2 linked regions of the Tamandua tetradactyla genome follow. The protein of the gene in region 2 interacts with the protein of the main gene of each other region in a pairwise test. Links are inferred from orthologs where the notes say so. Each region holds a gene or a part of one and is shown on either strand. Other genes may lie near its edges. The genes, in order: POLR3GL and POLR3C.

What was found.
Region 1: the proteins of POLR3C (region 2) and POLR3GL interact in binary tests that used the Homo sapiens proteins (3 or more experiments, as listed by UniProt). The link is inferred for Tamandua tetradactyla from reciprocal best matches to the Homo sapiens genes POLR3C and POLR3GL.

The regions. Positions count from the first base shown.
Region 1 is NC_135330.1:1,431,056-1,441,563, reverse strand, and holds the start of POLR3GL (DNA-directed RNA polymerase III subunit RPC7-like), read right to left. Parts: upstream 4,968-10,508; 5' UTR 4,856-4,967; intron 3,672-4,855; exon of another isoform or gene 2,829-3,671; coding exon of another isoform or gene 1,341-2,828; intron 1-1,340. Other genes in the region: ANKRD34A (ankyrin repeat domain-containing protein 34A), read left to right, coding at 1,341-2,828; LIX1L (LIX1-like protein), read left to right, coding at 5,795-6,062. UniProt on the Homo sapiens protein: DNA-dependent RNA polymerase catalyzes the transcription of DNA into RNA using the four ribonucleoside triphosphates as substrates. Specific peripheric component of RNA polymerase III which synthesizes small RNAs, such as 5S rRNA and tRNAs.
Region 2 is NC_135330.1:1,316,731-1,327,600, reverse strand, and holds the start of POLR3C (DNA-directed RNA polymerase III subunit RPC3), read right to left. Parts: upstream 4,450-10,870; 5' UTR 4,091-4,449; intron 3,241-4,090; exon of another isoform or gene 3,154-3,240; 5' UTR 3,060-3,153; intron 1,994-3,059; 5' UTR 1,973-1,993; coding exon 1,826-1,972; intron 1,311-1,825; coding exon 1,055-1,310; intron 969-1,054; coding exon 783-968; intron 1-782. Other genes in the region: E3 ubiquitin-protein ligase RNF115, read left to right, coding at 4,698-4,799. UniProt on the Homo sapiens protein: DNA-dependent RNA polymerase catalyzes the transcription of DNA into RNA using the four ribonucleoside triphosphates as substrates.

The sequences.
Region 1 (10,508 bases), about 110 kb from region 2:
GATGTGTAGGGGCGGGGGTGGGACATGTCCTGCGGTGTCTCGCACCTGGCTGGACTGTGCTGTCCCTGACCTTTACGTTACAAGCAAGCAGCCAGACCTTCCGCCTCCCCCTGCCCAGCACGGACGCGGGCTGGGGACGGTCCTGGGCTCTCTGCTTCCGCGCGGCGTGCGGGGCGCGGCGGGTGGCGGTCCGTGTGGCGCACAGGCGCGCCGGGACGCCGCGCGGGGACCCGGGCCTGCCGCAGCTCAGCCAGGAGCCCGATGGGCCGGGTCTGGGTTCGCGGAGAAGGCACACCTAGGTTTGTTGGGGCTGAGAGGAGGTCGGCTGGGAAACGGAAGTCAGGATTGGAGCCTCGAGGTTTTGAGGGTCTGTGGGTGCCCGGGGAGGGAGCGGCAGCCGCCGGACGCCCCCACCCGCAGAGGCGCGGCTAAAAATAGCAGCGCAGAGCTCCGCCCCCTCCCCCCGCTTCTCTCCTCCGGAGTCGGCGCGGTGCCCGGGGCGCACAGGGAGGAGGGACCAGGATCCGGCGCCGGGGCAGATACTGACACCAAGGGAATTCGGGGCCCCCCTCCAGCCATGTGGGCCCCCGGGAGCCCGGCTCCCCCTCGCGGGCTGCCCAGCGGCCCCGACCTCGGTCCTGGCCTGGCGGCGATTCTGCGAACGTTCAGGTATCTATTTGGGCGCACAGCCTGGGAGGGGAATGAGCCGAGGAGTGATGGGGAACATATCAGCAGGGGCAAAAGAAACCCCCAATTCTTCCCCCACCCGTTTTAGGTCCCAAACCCAAGGCGCTTCCCTGCCCCCACTCAGCATCTGGGGCTGTGGCCGCCTAGAAGAGGCTAGGACTGGGAATGTGGATGCGAGTGTACTGATGCGAGTGTGGGGGCGGGGGGCGTTCAGCACCCTAGAAAGGGGATTCCAAGTGCGGATAAGAAACGAGGGCTGCGGGAGAGGTCTGATAAGCCTTGGGGTGAGGGTGGGGGTACGGATATCCCCGCGCGTGCACGTATGCATTTGCACGCGTGCTCGTCCCCCCAGTGCGGGTGCACCCTTCCCACCGCCTCAGGCATGCGCTAGCGGGGAAGGGGCGGCTCGGAGGCATGGCTTAGAGGAAGGACAGTGTGCCATGGGGATCTGCCCCCGCCCCCCAGCCCGGGTCCTGCCGTCCGTGCCTCCGTTACTCTGCCCGGATCCGTCAATACGGTCTCTCTTTATCGCAGGGATCGACTTCGCCGCTGACCCCTCGGACCTCTGCCAGCCACCGCAGCGCCTCGCCTCGCCGTCCTCGGCAGGTCCCGGTGGCGGCCGCGTCGCCTCCGGCCTTGTCCCAGCCGCAGCCATGCTGCACACCGAGGGCCACGCTCTGCTTCGGGCCGTGGGGCAGGGCAAGCTCCGCTTGGCCCGTCTGCTCCTGGAGGGGGGCGCCTATGTGAATGAGGGCGACGCCCAGGGAGAGACCGCGCTGATGGCCGCCTGCCGCGCCCGCTACGACGACCCGCAGAACAAGGCGCGCATGGTGCGCTACCTCTTGGAGCAGGGCGCCGACCCCAACATCGCCGACCGCCTGGGGCGCACAGCGCTCATGCACGCGTGCGCCGGAGGGGGGGGCGCCGCCGTGGCCTCGCTGCTCCTGGCCCACGGCGCGGACCCCTCGGTGCGAGACCACGCGGGCGCCTCGGCGCTCGTCCACGCCCTGGACCGCGGGGACCGCGAGACCCTCGCCACGCTGCTGGACGCCTGCAAGGCCAAGGGCACGGAGGTCATCATTATCACCACTGACACCTCGCCCTCGGGTACCAAGAAGACCCGGCAGTATCTGAATTCCCCACCCTCCCCAGGGGTGGAGGACCCCGCCCCGGCCCCCCCTAGCCCAGGGCTCTGCACGTCGCCCTCGGAGATCCAGCTGCAGGCTGCGGCGGGAGGCCGGGGGGCGCTGTCCCCTCGCGCCCAGGAGGAGGAGGAGAGGCGGGACGTCTTTGAATTCCCGCTCCCCAAGCCCCCCGATGACCCCTCCCCTTCCGAGCCACTTCCCAAGCCACCCCGCCACCCCCCAAAACCACTGAAAAGGCTCAACTCTGAGCCCTGGGGCCTCGTGGCCCCCCCTCAACCGGCTCCGCCAGCCGAGGCGAGGCCCGGGCTAGAGCGCCTGACGGCCGAGTTCAACGGCCTCAGCCTGACCGGCCGCCCCCGCCTCTCCCGCCGTCACAGCACCGAGGGCCCAGAGGACCCGCCTCCGTGGGCGGAGAAGGTGGCGGGCGGGGGGCCCCTCTCCCGGCGCAACACGGCGCCGGAGGCGCAGGAGCCCTGCCCCCCTGCAGGGCTGAGGCAGAAACTGAGCCGCATGGAGCCAGTGGAGCTCGACGGCCCCGGACATCTGTGCCCCGACTCGCCCGAGTGCGGCCGCCCGTCCCTGGAGCGCCGCAGATACAGCGCCTCCCCACTGACCCTCCCGCCCGCTGCCTCGGCCCCCTCCCCGCGCCAGTCCCAGGAGAGTCTGCCCGGGGCTGTATCCCCGCTGAGCGGCCGGAGGCGGAGCCCCGGGCTGCTGGAGCGGAGGGGCTCAGGGACCTTGCTCCTGGACCACATCGCGCAAACTCGGCCTGGCTTCCTACCGCCTCTCAACGTTAGCCCCCACCCCCCCATTCCCGACATCCGCCCCCAGCCCGGAGGTCGGGCGCCTTCGCTGCCCGCCCCTCCCCACGCGGGGGTGCCAGGCTCTCCCAGGGCCAAGCGCAAGTTGGTGCGGCGCCACTCCATGCAAACTGAGCAGATCCGCCTGCTAGGGGGCTTCCAGAGTCTCGGTGGGCCGGGGGAGCCGGGGCGCTGAGACACGGGAGAGGAGCCGGGAGGCTGGGGGTCAGGGCCTGAGGACTAGATGGGGGAACAGCTCGCACGCATTGCACAGGGTCACTTGCATGTGCTCATGGGCACGCTGCACGCACACGTGGGTAAACGTGTTCACAAGCACAGTACTATTTGTAGGAAAGGGTAATCTCTATTTACTGGGCCTATAGACCCATGCCTTCATGCCCTGCTCACTTCACACCTATATGAAATCACTTGTGTGCCCAGAGGCATGGCAAACCAATAAACACACAGGGCCACTTGTGCGAGGACTCCACACGGACCCCAAACTCGCTCGCATTTGTCAGAAGCAGTAGGGAGGTCCTGCCTATGGGTAGTCCTTGCTGTATTTGCCCTCCTGCTGAAAACGTCCCCTAAATGGCAACCCCCTGCTTTCCACGTGTGCCCTGTAACACAGGCGCCATCATGACTTTACACACACTCCCCTCTTCACAACTGCCCCACCCTGCTCTGCAGGCCTTGCTTTTCCAGGGTGGGCTCCCTGTTCACACACTGCGTCCAGCCCCATCCGCTTTTGAGGATTATCTTCTTCATTCTTCTTGGAGGTTTCCTGTGGTAACTCCCAACCTCACTTCTGCTGATGCTCTTCCTGCTCTCAGCTTCCCTTCTCAACTCCATGCTTTTCATGCCTGCCCTGTTCCCCCAACTAATACACCACAGCAGGTTGTCTCGTTTTCCCAAAGGGCAGGTTGAGCCCTTAGCTGCTCTTCTGTTTTTGTCTGAGCTTATGAACACCCCCACAGGTGAAGTGGGGGGCAATCCTAAATCACTTCTCTCTCCACTTGACATATCAAATAAAAGTGTTCAGAAGTCTCTGCTTTGTCACTCTTCTGCCTGGGAGTGGTAAACATGGGATATGAGAAATGGTGGGGAGGGAGGGTGATGCTGACCAAAGCTATAATGATCCAGGAGATATTTAGAAGTTCCAGCCACCTACTTTCTAGGGGGCCACATGACCAACCGTGTTTGTAGAAGGAAAAGTAAGTGTTCTGAAGGCTTTAAGTCATTTAACTGGGTTTTCTTCCCCCCATTCTCTCCCACATCCCTTCCCAAGCTCTTTAACTTAGATCCCTACAGCTCTGCCCTCAACAGACACATTTCATTAGATTAAATGTCCCTCTTCCAAGCTTCCTATTTCTTGATCACTCCGTGCTTTTCCTTGGGGGTATCTCTTATTCATTTTCTTCTACTTCTGGCCTCTTTTTCCCCATTATTGATTTCTGAGTCACTGTAGGGCACAGTGAGAAAGAGAATAAGGGAGGTGGGGGTGGGGTGGAGAGGAGTACCTAGAATAATTTCACCTGTGTAAACATGACATGATGGTCAACTGACACTGGGTGTGCAGGGAGTGTGTAGGAGTAACCGAAGAAGCCCAGCCTTGGAGGGCCTATGAACAGGGTCACTGCGCTAATCTATCCTCTCAGTTGGCTGGGTTTTTACATATATTCTCTTTTCACTCTACTGGGAGGTGAAGGTTGTTGCCCATCCTACTTTTACTCTCTCCTCCAATTTAGGTCAAATGAGAAAGTCACTGAACAATGTGGTGTAGTGAAAATATCAAAATACTGGGAGTCAGAAGACCTATCGGTCTGAATCTCGCTTTGCCATTTCCTAGCTATTTGATATAGGGCAATTTATATAGTCTCTCTGAACGTCAGTTTACTTGTCCATAAAACAAAACTGAATTAGTGATTGAGATTATTAAATAAGACAATGCAGTAAAGCCCATCGCCTAGTGCCTGACGTAGAGCTTAAGAGTCAGCTCATTGTCAGTATCTTTCCTTGCTTTGTCTCTACCATCAATTGCGTGTGATCTTACACACCACTTCTCTGAGCCAGTTTCTTCATCTACAGCTGTCAAATGAAGTAGTCGGGCAATTACTTTTAAGAATCCTCTCACTCTGTCTACAGTTCTCCCCAGCCTTGTATCGACTCCTACTTTTTCTCTAAGCTCCACCCCAGGGGTCTGGCCCGCTTTCTCGTACTCACCACGGGATCCCCAAAGACCGGCCCAAGTCCCGCTTCTCCCTTGAAGAGGATGCAGCTTCCCCTCTGCGATTGGCCGCGAAGACCCTCCGCCTTCCGCGGTAACTCGCCTATGGCTGGCCTGGATCCGGCAGCCCCCGCCCCTCCTGATGACTGGCGTGCGGCCTGGCTTCTCCCCGCCCCCTCCCTGGTGACTGGCGTGCGGCCCGGCTTCTCCCCGCCCTCTCCCTGGTGACTGGCGTGTGGCCCGGCTTCTCCCCGCCCCCTCCCTGATGACTGGCGTGCGGCCCGGCTTCTCCCCGCCCCCTCCCTGATGACTGGCGTGCGGCCCGGCTTCTCCCCGCCCTCTCCCTGGTGACTGGCGTGCGGCCCGGCTTCTCCCCGCCCCCTCCCTGATGACTGGCGTGCGGCCCGGCTTCTCCCCGCCCTCTTCCTGATGACTGGCGTGCGGCCCGGCTTCTCCCCGCCCCCTCCCTGATGACTGGCGTGCGGCCCGGCTTCTCCCCGCCCCCTCCCTGGTGACTGGCGTGCGGCCCGGCTTCTCCCCGCCCCCTCCCTGATGACTGGCGTGCGGCCCGGCTTCTCCCCGCCCCCTCCCTGGTGACTGGCGTGCGGCCCGGCTTCTCCCCGCCCCCTCCCTGCTGACTGGCGTGCGGCCCGGCTTCTCCCCGCCCTCTTCCTGATGACTGGCGTGCGGCCCGGCTTCTCCCCGCCCTCTCCCTGATGACTGGCGTGCGGCCCGGCTTCTCCCCGCCCTCTTCCTGATGACTGGCGTGCGGCCCGGCTTCTCCCCGCCCTCTCCCTGATGACTGGCGTGCGGCCTGGCTTCTCCCCACCCCCGCCAGGCTGCTGCCGCCCGGCCCCGCCCTCCGCCCCTGGAGCTGGCCGGGCCGCTGGGCAGTCCCCTCGCCGGACTCCGGGCCGCCGCTCCCGCCGCGGCGGATGGAGACGATGCGCGCCCAGCGCCTGCAGCCCGGAGTGGGGCCCGGCGGGCGCGGCGCTCTGCGAGCTCTGCGGCCCGGAGTGACGGGGGCCGCGGCCGCCACGCCTCCTGGGGGCCCCCCACCCGCGCCGCCGCCCCCCGCGCCGCCGCCCGCGGCCCCCGGGCTGCCCTTGCCTCCGGGAGCGGCCGGCGGCCCCGCGGTGCTGCGCGAAGCGGTGGAGGCGGTGGTGAGGAGCTTCGCCAAGCACACGCAGGGCTACGGGCGAGGTGAGTGCAGGCCCTCGCCCCGGCAGCGCCCCCCGCCCCCCGCCCGCGCCCCGCGGCGTGGCCGTCGGGGGCTCCTTTGGGGCGGCCAGCGCGCACTCGTGCACCCCTTTACCGAGCGGCCCCCTCCTTCCCCTGCGGCCCCGCGCCCCCGCGCCCCGGCCGTCTTTTCTTCCCCGGCCCTCCCCCTTGTGAAGTGGGGCTTGTGTAAAGTGCTGTCTCAGCACCCCTCCCCGTCGAGGGCCAGGCCCGTGGTCTGGGCCGCTCAGCCTTATCTTCGATCCCGGACTTTTCTCAGTCGTGTCCTCGCGGACTGTCCCCAGCGAGCCCAGCGATTCCCCAAGCCCCCCGCTCCGTCACTCTCTCCTTAACCTTGACTTTCCAGTGCTTTTCCTACTTCCCTCGGCAACTTCCTGCACAACTTCAGGACAACCTGGCGCCTGCGCGCGCCACTCGGTAGCTGCGCCTCCAAATCTGGGCCCCCGGCGTGGCGCCCACCCCAGCCAAGTGTCTGCGCGCCCGGCCGCGCCCCTGGCCTCCGGCCGGCGGGCCCCGCGGTCCTGGCCCTTGCCCAGGAACTGAGCATAAAGCCCAGGCCCGGGCGCCCCGAGTGCTCACTTCTGTGGAGATGAGCCAGGCAGAAACTCTATTTCCATTAGAAATCTTCATCTTAGAGATGCCTCATTTGTACGGTTTCTGGCAAGGGGGATGGGAGGATTTTCTCTGTGGTTTTTATTTAACCAGTTTCTTTCTGAGCTGAAGTTTCAGATTTAGTGTAACGGACAAGGACTATCTGCTGAGGGGTGAGGAAGGCAGCTTTTAGGTCTGGAATTTTAAGACATCACTTCTGTCTGCTCGGCCTGGAAATGACAACGCCTTTGGCTTTCTGGTTTAACAATAATGCAGAGACACTGCAGGGCTGTCCTTAGATGGTGACCACTTGTTTTGTCTGAGAAAGCCCAGCTAAAGGGGCACGGGTTTTGGAGTCAGGCAGGTCTGGATTCAGTCCCAGATTACATCTTTGCCATCCTGTGTTCTTGGTGAAGTGACTCAATTTCACTGAGCTTCAGTTTCTTCAAGGGTTATGATTTGGATTAAATGACACATAATGGGTACTTACTAAATGATAACTATTATTAATATCTAAAATATATTGGTTTATATTTTCTTGGGAAGAACATATCTCATTTCCTCCCACTCTAAATCTGTACAGTGTAAACTCAAAGATTTGTATGAAAACAAAATTTTAGGTCCATTTTGCTATTTATATGTCCAGTGATTCATTTATGATCATTTTCCTTCATTTTTCATGTACTTTGAATTTCTACCATGGGGCAGGCACGCTGCAAGGTACTGGGGATGCAGTGGATGTGCTTTTGGAACTCACCGTGAGGGGATAGAGTTCTTTTTCTACTTTAGTTTCTGGTTTTTAGAGGACAATGTGATGGAACTGCCATCCACTGTGTCCTGCTTCAGATCTATAGGTGGAGGCCAAGGGACAGCCTCTGGTTCTGGGTATGGGCATGGCCAGGACTGGCAGTCTGACATCTGACCACTTCCTCTGGGGAAGATAAGGCATTTATTAAAAGTCTACAATGTATCCTTTCTTAGTTGTGTTACCTGGAAAGCCTCTAATCTGGACACTTTTTTCATTTCCCTAGAAAGGATGGGGAACAAGGGAGTTGTGCTGACATCGAGCAGTCAGTCGCGCTGTAGGCTGTGTGGAGACCCCTCCTCCAGCCCCCCACCTCCCACCGCAGGCCCTCCCATGATGCTCGCTTCCCGTTTCCAGTCTGGATATCCAGCCAGTACTTTGGAAGAGTTTGGCAGATAGTTAAACTTCAGGCAAGCGAATCTCTGCTGATTTGGCTTAGAAGTCCATCCCCACATGGAATCACTTATTCTGCTCCAATGAATAGGCAAAGCTGCCGTTGGCATGTCCCACACGCCCATGTGACTGATGGCATTTGGTGTTTGGGGGCTGGCTCTGCTCTCCTGAGTACAGCATATTTTGGCCTTTGCCCAGACCGTTTCTTGGACCAGCAGTGTTTTCCTGCACCGTCTTCAGTGCACACCCTCCATCTTCTTCACACTCACCCTTTACCCCATTCTTCTAGGATCTCAGCGTTTCTTCAAAAACTCTTCTGGAATTTCAGCTGTTTGTCCTTTTATTACCTATCCACTTCCAAAGATACACGCACAGCCCAGTATGCTGTAGGATCCTGATCAGTTCTGGCTGTGTGATCTTGCTTAATCTCTCAAGACCCCATAGTTTCATTCATTCATTCAACAAGTATTTATTGCTCAGCAGACGCAGTGGTGAACAAGACAGCTTCTCAGTCCTTAGTCTCGTGGAACTCACATCCACTTTCCAAACAAGTGTGAGGATGAATGGTGTAGTAAAGCAGGAGAGTACAACAGAAAGTGGGTTGACTTTGAAGCCAAACAAACATTGGTTCTAAACCCTGGTTCTGCCACTGTGGTGTGATCCTTTTTACTCTCTGTAAATGAGCATCGTCATACCTGTCTTGATGGCTCTGTGTGGATTGAACAAGACAGCGAATATAAAGTTCCCAATCCACGTGGTACCCAGTGAGTGGTTGCTGTCATTATGCATCTGGAAGTTGTTTGAAGACTCTGCACACGACAGGTATTGCTAACACTCTGCCTCCTTTGTCCCCCCTTTTCCACATGACATAGAGCCACCTTCTTGCAATGCCTGACAGCTAGCAATCCCCAAACCAGCATAACTGACTGAATGGCCAAGTCACTTTCCTTGCTGTGTAACTGCTGCATTGCTCTCTTCAAGCCTGATTTTTTGAATTATTGCCCTCTCTTTATGTTATAGTATGGCTACGTGATTAGAGGTTGTGCCCCGCTACTTTTCTAGGTTGAACAAGTGTCACTTGAATGGTATTTTCTGCTTTGTTGTCCTTTCTCCTCAGAATTACAGGCAGCTTCGCCTGAAAGTGACCGTGGGGTTAAAATGATTGGTCTGAATATTTCCAGTTTGGGAAACTGTGTTGTCCCCTATATTAGTTTCCCATGGCTGCTATAGCAAGCTGTCACAGACTTGGTGGCTTAAAATGACAGCAATTTATTCTCCCAGAGTTCTGGAGGCCAGACGTTTGAAATCAGTGCATGTGGACCACACTCAGGGTGCCGGCCATGCTTTCCCCAGGGGCTCTGGGGAAACCTGCTCTAACCTCTTCGGATCCTGGCGGCTGCTGGGACTCCTCGGCTTGTGACTGCGGCGCTGCCCTCTGTGGCCACTTGCCTCTCCTTCCCTGTTAGGATACTTGTGTCTGCATTCAGGGCCCACTCAGACCCCCAGGATAATCTCACCATTTCAAGTCCTTAATTTAATCAACCCTCAAAGTCCTTGCTGCCGGAGGTCACACTCGCAGTTCCGAGGACTAGGTTATGGATGTGTGGCACATACCAAAGTCCCTGTGCCTCGGTTCCTCTCTTCCAAAGAATCTACTCACTGAGTCTCCACTTGCTTCTCTTGCTCCTCCCGGGTAGCCCTGGATTTGTGTGGTTATTTGAAGAAGGGGTCTGCATCTTTATATTTATACTCTGGCATAGTGCTGTTTGTTCTCAGAAGCTGCATATATTTTACAGATCTCTTTTTAATCTGCTCAGGGTGCCTGGGTAGTTCAGTGGTAGAATGCCCACCTTCCATGCGGGATACCTGGTTTCGGTTCCCAGACCACGCATCCCCCCCAAAATCTGCTCAGTGGTGTCCATGAACGAACAAAATAAAACATCAAGTACTGCGGCTTTTCTATTATTTATGCTCAACAGGTTCCTAGGGTGCAGCAAACAAGTCTTTCTGGGATGGGTCTGGAGGAGAATTTTGGGGAGAAAACAAGCAGTTATTTTAAGTAGTATCAAGTAAATGTGGGTAGAAGTGCTGTGGAAGACTGAATTTTTGGTGTTTTGAAATGCACTGAAAACCGTGTTGTAATTGCATGTTCATGGCTCTGCTTTCCCAGTGAGTAACAAATTTCTGGACTGGAGGATCACAGTTCTGTGCACCTAGGAAGAAACAAGCATGAAAGAAATCACAGCTGATAGAAGGCGTGTAGTATGATTGGGTGATTCAGAGATACCTCCTAAAAACTGAAGTGTCAGGTGAAATATTGTTAAGCAGCTTCCTTATCTTGCGTAATAATGTGAGTTAAGACAGGACGGCCTATTCTCGCCATCCTGGCGTGAGCAGCAAGAACCTCCGCACTCACCTCTCAGTGTCATTGTCTGTTTACCGTCTATTTATCCGTGCTCCCCTACAACGAAACTGTATTATGATGACGTAAACGCCTTACTCTGGTTTCATGTGTCCTTTTGTGTCTTTACTCTGGTAGACGTATGATCTGGACCATTTGTTCCTCCTAGACATTCATCTATTCCTTTATCTCCTAAGGGCAAAAACCAAATTTACTCTAT
Region 2 (10,870 bases):
GAAAGTTACTCTAATGCATGGAACCCTTGTAGAATCTTATACAATGCCCTAGGTGTTCTTTAGGATTGGCTGGAATAGTTTTGGTTGGGGTTTGGCAAACTATGATAGGTACCAATGTCTAACTGAACAGTGACCTACAGAGTAGCCTCTTGACTCTCTTTGAACTCTCTCAGCCACAACATGTGATTCTTAAAATGCTCTGTCTCTCTCATGTTTTCTGCATCTGATTTTTTACTGGTTGGTCTACATTTACATTTGACCTACTCTCCCATTCTTTCTGTAGAAAAATCTTTTAAAAATGTAAATTAGATCATGTCATTTCCCTGGTTTAAAATCTTTCAGTGGTCTTCCTTTGCTCTTAAGAACAGATGCTCCATAGGTCCTGCCTGACCAAGCCCCTGCCTGCCTCTTGACACACTGACCATGTTTCAGTTCCTCAAATACCCTGTATTTTTAATTCCTCACTGTAACTGTACTCCTCCACACCTCATCGCTGGCTCCTACCTCTGTTTCAGATCTGGCTCATATGCCACTTCCTCAAAGAAGCACGTGCCCTACCTAACCTGAGATAAACCTGGTCCTCTGCTCCATATTTCCATTACCCTTGCTCTTCTTTACAGCACTCATCAGTTTGTTATATATTTGTGCAGATATTTGACTACCGTACATTTCCTACACTAGACTAAGGGTGCGGTTCTTGTTGGCCCGTCACGACTGATTCATTCAATTAACAATGAAAACTATACGATTAGGATAATAGTTTCAGGGGTCAAATTTCTTACCGATCAAGCTCAGTTTAGGAACCAGGTACATGTCTTTCTCATTAACGATAAGGGTGGGGGCAGGTGGCGGTGGCCCAGGGTCTGAGTTCTCAGGGGCAGGCGCTGCGGGGCAGCGCTGCACGAAGTGCGTGTCGGCCAGGCGCACAAAGGTGTGTGCAACCTCGGAGTAATCCATGGTCTTGCCGTCTGCACAGGAGAGGAAAGGGGCAGTTGAGACGGCCTGAGACAGCTGGGGGTCCACTCCTGCAGCAGCCAATGGATACAATACTGACCCTCCATGGTCTCTGTGAGCCGGTCTGCCACCTTCTTCACCACAGCTGACATCGTCATCTTACCATTCAGCAGCAGCTCTTCCACGATCAGCTCGCCGGTGTCGCCGTAGAGCGTCTTGGCAGTGTAGATGTACCGGGGATACCTGAGCATCCATAGCACCCGGCCACACTGGGCCTCATACTCCACCATGCCACGCTTGTGCACTTGGTATACTACTAGATTATGCTGAATGAGGACGCAAAGGGCTTTTTTTACCTACGTAGAAAAGGAAAAAAAAGAGGAAAAGGCCTGACGCCATAGCTCAATATTACTGGCAATTTTTTGTCCAATAGCTTTCTAAGCATTAGGAAATCTAGACAAGAATGTTTCACTCCTTCCTTCCTTAATTGGAAAAGTTAACAAGAATCACATGTCAAGGAAAGAAATCCGGAAAAATTCCTCGCTATGATGCTCATCTGTCCTCTGAGCCTTATCCTTCAAAGCACTTTTCTTTCCCTCTATCATCCTCATTCCTTAAAAGTAGTACTGAGATGAACAAAACCGTCCTGAGTACATGAGGTTGGCAAGGGAAGGTGAAGGGTTTGCCTAGGAAGACACAATGAACTAGGAATTCCCTAAGAAGAGAAGTTTGGTGCCTAAGTCCCACCCTCTTTCCCACAAATAAAAAAAAAGCTGCACTGATTCCAGGGCAAGCTTTTTCATTTTCTGGGTTGGGGAAGAATATTTTAAGGTAGGTTAGAGAAGAGCAAATTAATGCCATCTAAACAGACCTGATCCAGCGATGTTCCTGTGTCATGGGCAATTGCTCTTAGTGGCTGACTGCCAGTTCTGATTAGATGGACTCCAATTTTTTCTACTATCTCTCCAAAGTGCTCTTGCAGCAACAAAGAGCACAGATTAATTTCTGCTTGAGTCATTGTAACGGGGAGATTTCAAAACTAGAAAGTAAGGGGGGGGGGGAGAACACAATTAATGATAGTAGCACAGAAAGTTTTTCTTTCCTATTGGGAGTAGAGCCACTGAGTATAAATTCGTGTACTCTTTCTGGAGGGCAATTTGGTAAAATCCAGCAAAAGCCTTACATTCTGGCACACCTTCAACCTGACAGTTTCACTCTGCGTACTATAAAAAGATGTCACTGTACGTTTCTTTATTCAGTGAAAAACTGAACAACCTAATGTCTAGTAAGGCATTTGTTCAATAAACTAGGGTCTACCCATACAATGGAATACTATAACATTTAAGATGATATAGTACAATATTGATTAGCATATAAAATTGGCTATAATGCATTAAGTCAAAAGAGCTAGTTACAAAACAAAATGTCTATTAAAAACTCAAGAGTGAAATAAGCTAGATAACAAAGTACAAATATTACATGATCTCACTAATATGAAAGTCAAAATAAGCAAATTCACAGAATCAGAAACTAGGATTTAAGTTACCAGGGATAAGCTAGGGGGAGGGAACTTAATGTCTAAGTTGGACAGTGTTCCTACGTGGGTGATGGAAAAGTTTTGGTAACGGATGGTGGTCATGGAAGCACAGCATTGTGAATGGAATTAACGGCACCGAATTATATATAAGAATGTGTTCAAAAGAGGAAATTTTAGATTGTCTGTAAGTTACTAGAACAAAATTTTTTTAAAAAAAACCACAATAAGATAGGACTGCACAACACAATGAACCCTAATATAAACCATGGGCAATAGTTAGTAGTATAATCATAATATTTTTTCATCAGTTGTAACAAAGGAACCACATTAATACAAGGTGTTACTAACTGGAGGGTGGGTATATGGGAGCTCGGCATTTTATGCAAGACTTTTCTCTAAACCTACAGTTTTACTAATAAAAAGTTCAATTGCTTTAAAAACAAAAAGAAAAACGTATGCACAGGAAAAAGGAAAAGACAGGAAGACTATACATCAAACCTATCTTTTTGGGATTACGCATGGTTCTAACTCTTTTTAATTATATAAAGTTTTGTGACGCGTCACAGACCTCAGATTCTTTACTTCATTGCTTGGAAAAATTAAGACCAGTGTTCACGACACACGCGGTGAACAGGCAGGATCATTCCCACTCCATGAAAGACCTGCCAGTGTAGAAGACGCAATTAGAAGGTAAAGGAGAGCTTCTCAACGTGGTATTTCAAATAGGATAATTCCGCAAATTCTATTCCCTGAGAAAATAAACACAAGCACAACTGATCGATTACGTGGTCACTCCCTCGTGCCACACTCTGCACCAAACGCTGGTTTACACCGATTCCTCCACATTCTTCGCAAGCGGAGTCTCTGCCCCGCAGCCTCGGCGTCACCGGACACGGCCGCCACAGGGTGCGCAGGTTTGGGGGCCCCGGGCCCTGCACCCCACGGAGAGGCCGCGGGGGGGTCCCGCCCGGGCCCTGCACCCCACGGAGAGGCCGCGGGGGGGTCCCACCCGAAGCCTGCACCCCACGGAGAGGCCGCGGAGGGGTCCCACCCGAACCCTGCACCCCACGGAGAGGCCGCGGAGGGGTCCCACCCGAAGCCTGCACCCCACGGAGAGGCCGCGGAGGGGTCCCGCCCGGGCCCTGCACCCCACGGAGAGGCCGCGGAGGGGTCCCGCCCGGGCCCTGCACCCCACGGAGAGGCCGCGGAGGGGTCCCGCCCGGGCCCTGCACCCCACGGAGAGGCCGCGGGGGGGGTCCCACCCGAAGCCTGCACCCCACGGAGAGGCCGCGGAGGGGTCCCGCCCGGGCCCTGCACCCCACGGAGAGGCCGCGGAGGGGTCCCGCCCGGGCCCTGCACCCCACGGAGAGGCCGCGGGGGGGTCCCGCCCGGGCCCTGCACCCCACGGAGAGGCCGCGGAGGGGTCCCGCCCGGGCCCTGCACCCCACGGAGAGGCCGCGGAGGGGTCCCGCCCGGGCCCTGCACCCCACGGAGAGGCCGCGGGGGGGTCCCGCCCGGGCCCTGCACCCCACGGAGAGGCCGCGGAGGGGTCCCACCCGGACCCTCCACTCTTTCCCGCGGGGCCCTGGTTCCACTAACCTCGGGGTCGCTGCAGTCCAGGGGCGCCCACCTAGGGACGGCGACGAGTAACCCTCCACCTCTTCACGCGACTGAGCCCAGGAAAATCGGGGCCTCCGGCCCTTCCTGCAAAACAACCAACCCGCCCGGTGTAAAAGCGCCGTCCGCTCTACCCGCAGCTTTGCGGTTTCCGGGGACGCTCTTCCTTTCTTCTCGTTGGAAAAGAGGCCGGCTAAGGCGGCGGGCGGGCCGCGGCTGAGGACGGTCCTCCCTGCGTCTCGTTGGTGCTGGGGGGTGGGGTCTCGGCTGAGGACTCTCCAGCCGGCGCCTCGTTGGTGCTGGGGGCGGGCCTCGGCCGAGGACGCTCTTGGCGGCATCTCGTCGATGTCGGGGGCGGGCCTCGCTGAGGACGCTCCTCCCTGCGTCTCGTTGGTGCTGGGGGCGGGCCTCGGTTGAGGACTCTCCTCCCGGTGTCTCGTTGGTGCTGGGAGGCCGCGGCCTGGCGGGCTCACGTGACCGCCGTGGCTGGGTCGCCCAGCGCCCTGAGGAGACGGCGGCCGCGGCTGGAGATAGCGGCTGGGGAGGGACGGGCCCGCTGCCCTTCGGACGGCCGCGGGGAAGAGGACAGATGGCGGAGGCCTCGGCGGCCGGGGCGGGCGCAGGCGCCGCCGTAGCCGCGCACCGGTTTTTCTGCCACTTCTGCAAGGGCGAGGTCAGCCCTAAACTGCCGGTAAGAGCCCGACCCCGGCCCCGCCCGCCCGGCCTTCCCGCGGGGCCCCGAGGCGGCGTCCTCCTCCGCAGGCTCTGGGCGCGCGTCGCCGCCTCTCCTCCCGCGATGACCTTCGCGCCGCGCTCGGCCCTGTCGGCTCCCGCCCGCCGCGCTCCTGGCTTCTTGTCCACGTGCCGCTGCGTCCCGCACCCGCCGGGGGGAGGCCGCACCCGGGACGAGCAGGGACTCAGGGAATTGAAGGATAGGCTGTGAGCAGGGACTCAGGGGGCCCTGGTGGCCGAGGGGCCCGAGGACCGCAGCGCCCCGACGGCGGCCGCGCGCTCCCGCCCGCTTGAGCGGAGTGACCGGGGGCCGCGCTGCAGCTCGGCCCGTGGGGCCCCTGCGGCGTCCTCGGCGCGCCCCTGCCCGCTCCCCGGAAGACGGCGCTGTCGGCGCGTGGGGCCCGCGAGGCTCTGGCCCCCGGGGTGGGTGTGCGCCGGGAGGAGGCGTCCCCGCGGCGGCCAGCTGCCCTGGCGCCTGCCCGGAAAAGCTGCTGCGGGGACCCGCGGCGAAGAGCGGGCCTCGGGGGTCGCGGGGGCTGCCTCTGGTCCAGGCCCGGGGTTCGCTGGCCTGGAGGCTGACTGCGGTTAGGGCTCGGGTCCGGCTAACCCATTAAGCCGCATGTGCTGCATGTGCACGCTGAGCTTTGCCTGTGATTTGGCTGTATACATGTGGGTTTTGTTTGTTTTCCTTTCTCCATGTTTCAGCTGGGAAGAGCGGTGCTGCTGGAACTTGCAGAGCTCTTTCACTGTGGAGGGGAGTCTGCATCCACCAGTATGCGGGGAACCCTCGACCTGTTGTCAGATAGGATGCTTTGCTGAACTTTACGGCCTCGTTGTTCCCACGTTTTAAGTCATTGTTCCCTCTCTTCCCTTTAAGAGTGAGAAAATCTAGTCCAAATTCTCACAACTTATCACTTCTTACCACTTCAAGTCTTCACTCGTAAGTGCTTGTAGAAAGCAGTAATTTGGAGGATTTTAAAAGTGATTTTTCAAGCCTTGTTAAATGCCTGAAGGAGAAATTCTTGATCTTTTAACTTTGATTTAGTATCTGTCATGCCTGTCTGAAATTGAGCCGAACACAGTTAAATATCATAAATATTGCTGTATGCGTACAAGGCCTCCTGCGGCATGTCCTGGGGTGGCATGGAGGAATCTACAGTCCCTGCCCTAAGGACCTCACAATCTTGTGGGAAAGTCAGCATGGGTAGGGAAAACATAATAACAAAGGTGACTGAGAATGGGGTAACAGATGCCGTAATGTTCGCAGAAAGGAGGACAGGATAGCATTGGCGAGGTCAAGGAAGGTGTGGCATGTGAGTTGGGTTGTGAAGGAGATGGGTGAATTCAGACGGGATAGAATAGCCTAGGCTGTGAGGTGGAAAAAGGAAGAGGGAGTCGAGGAAGAGGGGAGAGGCAGTATATCGTTGTTATGCTTTTCTAGGGAAAGGCGCCCTGAGGTCAAGGTTATAGTCGTGATTCGTGTATGAACCAGTGAGTTTGATCTTGCTTCCTGGCCGTCTCTGTGTCCTTAAGCCCAGATGGTCATCTTGAGAAGTTGGTTAGAAGGATGACCCGGCCATGAAGTGGCTGGTTCTGTGCAAATCTGTCTCTGCTAGGGAGAGCCAGCTCAAGCATTGCTAAGTCAATGCCCTGATTTTCATGGCTAAACTCAACATTTAAAAGTTTAAAAACATATGTGCATGATTTCTAAATGTTGTGTTAGTTAATTTTTTTTTAATTAATAAAAAAAAGAAAACAATCTAAATAAAAAATTGGTAGAAAGAAATATTACTTGAAAATATATGTGTATATCTCTATATGAAATATATCATTTAAATCTAGCATATATTATAGATAATATTCTGGGTACTGTTTGGGGTAATTTGTTATTTACTTAATATACCTTGGAGAACTTTCCTTAATAGGTGAACACGATCTCATTCTTGTAAGTGATCACATAGAACGCTATATGATAGAACCATAATATATTGCTATGTCCCTACTAGAAACATTGAGGTTATTTTCAATTTTTGACCATTTCAAAAATATGCTGAAGTTAACATTCTCACATAGATTTCTTTGTTTTTGTTTGGGTTTATTTCATAGATAGAGGATAGAGTCATATAGGTAAGCTTCATTGGTGTGTGACTTGAAGTTATGTACCCTCCAAACATGTTCTTCATATTAATTCATTCCTGTGATGTGAACCCATTGTAAATAGGATTGTTATGAGATTACTTCAGTTAATGTGTAGCCCAAAAAAACAAAAAAAAAACGTGTGTATATATATATCCATATATGTATTCATATGTGTATATGAATTTGAGATTCCCCCACTGTGAGTAGCCAGCCTGCATTAGGCATGCATGTTTGGGGAACTGGACGTGCATTACGGGAACCTGTGGTCTGTGTGAGGCCGGCCAGACCCAGCTCTCCTTGAAGAACGTTTTCCTCTCTCTTCACTGAATTTGCATCTGAAGCGGGTAGGAGCCGTTGGGTGACAAGAAGCAGCATCACCCGGAGCGCTTCCTCTGCCAGAGGCTGGGCATTTGTACCTCCTCTAATGAGCTACTTCTGGGTGGGTTTCCTCCCCGCGCAGTGGGGTGCCTGCTGGGGCGCCATCTCGGCCCCTGCCGTCTCCCCTTGTTCACTGAGACTGGGTGGAAAAGTACACAGCTCCCTCCCTTTTTTACCTCCCTCAGTGTTTGGAATCTGTCATTTCTTGGTACATTTGGAAGTGAGCGTGGCCAATCGCAACAGCTTAACCAAGGTTCAAACCTGAATCTACCTTTAGGTTTTTGTTTGTCATTTTTCTTGTTAGTCCTATTACTTTGTAGAATTAATTTCTGTATTAAGAAAAATAATTTTCATTACAGCTTCTATGCCTAATGCTGTGAGGTTAAGCTGCATGGTTAAATTAATTTAATTTGTTGGAATAACATGCCTTTCTACTAGTTCTGATCTATCCATCTCAGCTTCGTGTGTCTTGGGTTTGGATACTTCCTAATAAGAGGACAAAGCCTCTGTTCAGAAAGGAGATATTAAGAAATTAGGGAAAATCATGAAGGGAATTGTGAAATTTAAATGTATCAATGGTACTGTTTTCTGTCAGCTCTAATAAGAGTCCCTAGAAGGGAATATTGATTTTGGAATTTACTTCTTCATATTATCATTCAGTTCCCTGAGTCCCTTCTCATATTTTTCCATTTTTTTCCCTGTAGTTTCTGTTTCTTATCGGATTTCAGATGTTCCATCCTCCAGTTTGAAATTTAGTTCTCGTACTAAAAATGTTTTCCTATTAATGTGAATATAATTTTAGTAAAGTTTGGTGAGTACTAAACTTGGATTTTAAAGTAAGAGATTTTTTTTTTTTTAACATGGGCAGGCACCGGGAATTGAACCGGGTTCTAGGGCATGGCAGGCAACCACTCTTACCTGCTGAGCCACCATGGCCCGCCCAAGAGATCTTGATTATATATTCTGAAGCCTCAGGGTTTCAGGTTTATATATAATTGGGTAAAACGGCTCTGTGAATTTTTCAGTCTTTACATGGTAGAAGAAATATTAAGAGGTACGTATCTTAAAATTATTTTCAAACCCAGGAGAAGCTCCTGTTTCCCCACCTATCCTGTTGAGAGATAGTATGAAGCCAGGGTCAATGGGGATAAGTGTGCCAGATTAGGGACTCACCTCAGTGCACCTCATGAGGCTGCAGGTAAGGTCACTCCGCCTCCCACCCTGCCTCCCCCCCCCCCCCCGATTTTTGTACTACATTCAGGGAATATTATCTGGTGAAATAGAATCCGGTCGTGTCATTGTTAAATAGGTGGGATAAATCATATGCAGAAGTAATCTACTTTTGGTACAACTGAGCCTAGGGTAGTTTTTTTTAAAAAAATTATTTATTAATTAAAAAATTTAACAAACCAAATAAAACATTAACATATATAATCAGTAACTCACAATATCATCACTTAGTTACATATTCATCATTTCTCAGAACATTTTCATCAATTCCTAGGGTAGTTTTTAAGTGCTTTATGGAGATCAGTTTAAGGACTGCACGTGTGTCGTGGCCTCGGAGGCTAGCAGGCCTCTCTTCCCTCTCACATCTCCTTATTATATCACCTTCCTTGATCTAATAGAATGTGGTTACTACCAGTAAGTAACATTACCTCATTTGGCTCTTTACCAGGTGCTACACAAGTTGTTAATTTGTGCTGTATTTGTAATGCCTCTAATACAGGAAAATGTTCTGATTACCCCATGAATTGTTAAAAGTGAATTTCTTAAATTTTGTAACCCTTAAAATGCTAAACTTACTGACCTCTTTCTATGTTGCGTGATTCTTAGAAAGCTCCCAGAGAAGTACCTAAGTTAGGTTAGTAGTGTTGTTGTGTTCCATAGGGGAAGCAATTTAGTGATTTGAGCTGGATTTGAAAGATTTTAATTATTAGATTATCTTATACTCTGCTATTGGTGATTTACCATCTAAAAAGTCTGCTTAATTACCTTACCATCTAACTGATACTGTATAGCATTTTGCCTGTCAAATATTTCTGGAATGAATAAGTGATGTCATAAGTTGAACACCACCTAGTTGTATTTAGAAGTAGTGACTTCAGTGTTTTGAGATCTTCATTTAAAAGGGCTAGAGTGGTACATAATACATGTAAATCTCAAATCTTCAGTGTCAGTAAATATATCCCCATCAAGGATCTAGAAATAAGAGATACATTCTTGTGGCTATTTCTAGCCTTGATATTCTACTGATAAGTAGACGTGTATGTAGTGGGGAAATCTTGTGGGACTTTCTCAGTATGAGGAAGAACAAAATCTTAAATTCGCTGCAGATGATTGCAGATGAAATCCCTTGTATTTTTCTGGGAAGTACCAACTGAATGCATTTCGTGTTTGTGTTTGTTTCTTTATGACCTTTATTTGTGTTTAGGGAGAGATTGATGGATTCTTAGAGACAACCCTATAAGAAAGGTTTATAAGAAGAGGAAAGAAGCTGTGTTTACTTCTTGTTTTCTAGTCAAACTAGAAGGACCCTAAGGATAAGAAACCTATGGATGCTGGCTTCTTTTCCATCCTCCACAGCTTAGTAATGAGAAACAAAGGAGATAGTATAGAGGAGTGGCTCTCAGCTGAGGGTGGTCTTGCTCGCCGAAGGACGTGTGTCAGTGTGTGCGGACATGTTTGAATGTCATAACTTAGGGGGTGTGTCTGCAGGCACTCAGGGGTAGAGGTCAAGGATGCTGCTCAGACAGGCCACAGTGCATGGGACAGTTCCCCTCCTGCCCACAACAGAGTCCCCAGAATGTCAGGAGCTTTGAGATTGAGAAACCTTGGTGTAGAGGGAGAGAGGGATAGTATTTGCCTTCTAGTGTCAGGGTGCCTCAGGTTTTGTTCTGGCATAGCTTTGATTTCTAACTTTGGGATCCTGATGAGCTTTTCAGTAAGATGATTGAATGTTAGCTAAGGCCGAGACAGAAGGTATTAACCTAGAACGGGGACTAGTCTCAGAAATTAGTGACTGCTGTTGCATTATAGCAGTATCCTGTTGGGGGCCACTTTGTCTCCTTGTGGTGACAGACCTGAGGAATTGGATCACTGCTCTCAAGTTACACACGGCAGGGCAGCTTTGAGAGAAAAATGTGCAGACTTTTTGCCAGTTGGGAAATAATTGAGGTAGTAGTACCACATGTAATTTAGTAAAACATGGAAATTCTGGTTTGAAAACAAGGCAAAAAGCAGACAACAGGCTTAACTTTTAGTTTTCCTTTAACTCATCTTAGCATTAATCAAGTTTTACTTTCTGTGTTTCTCAGAGGTTTCGTGAGCTCAGAAGTTTGTATGTTTTAAATTCCGACTCAGGTGGAGCGGGTGGCCTGAAGTTACAGCGGTCCCTCTTTAATACTCGCCTTCATGTGACTGGAGCTGAGCCGCCTGATCCTCTCCGTTCACCTTAGTATATCTCACCATCAAGTGGTGCTTAGACGTACCTATTGGAAGCGTGAATGAGCA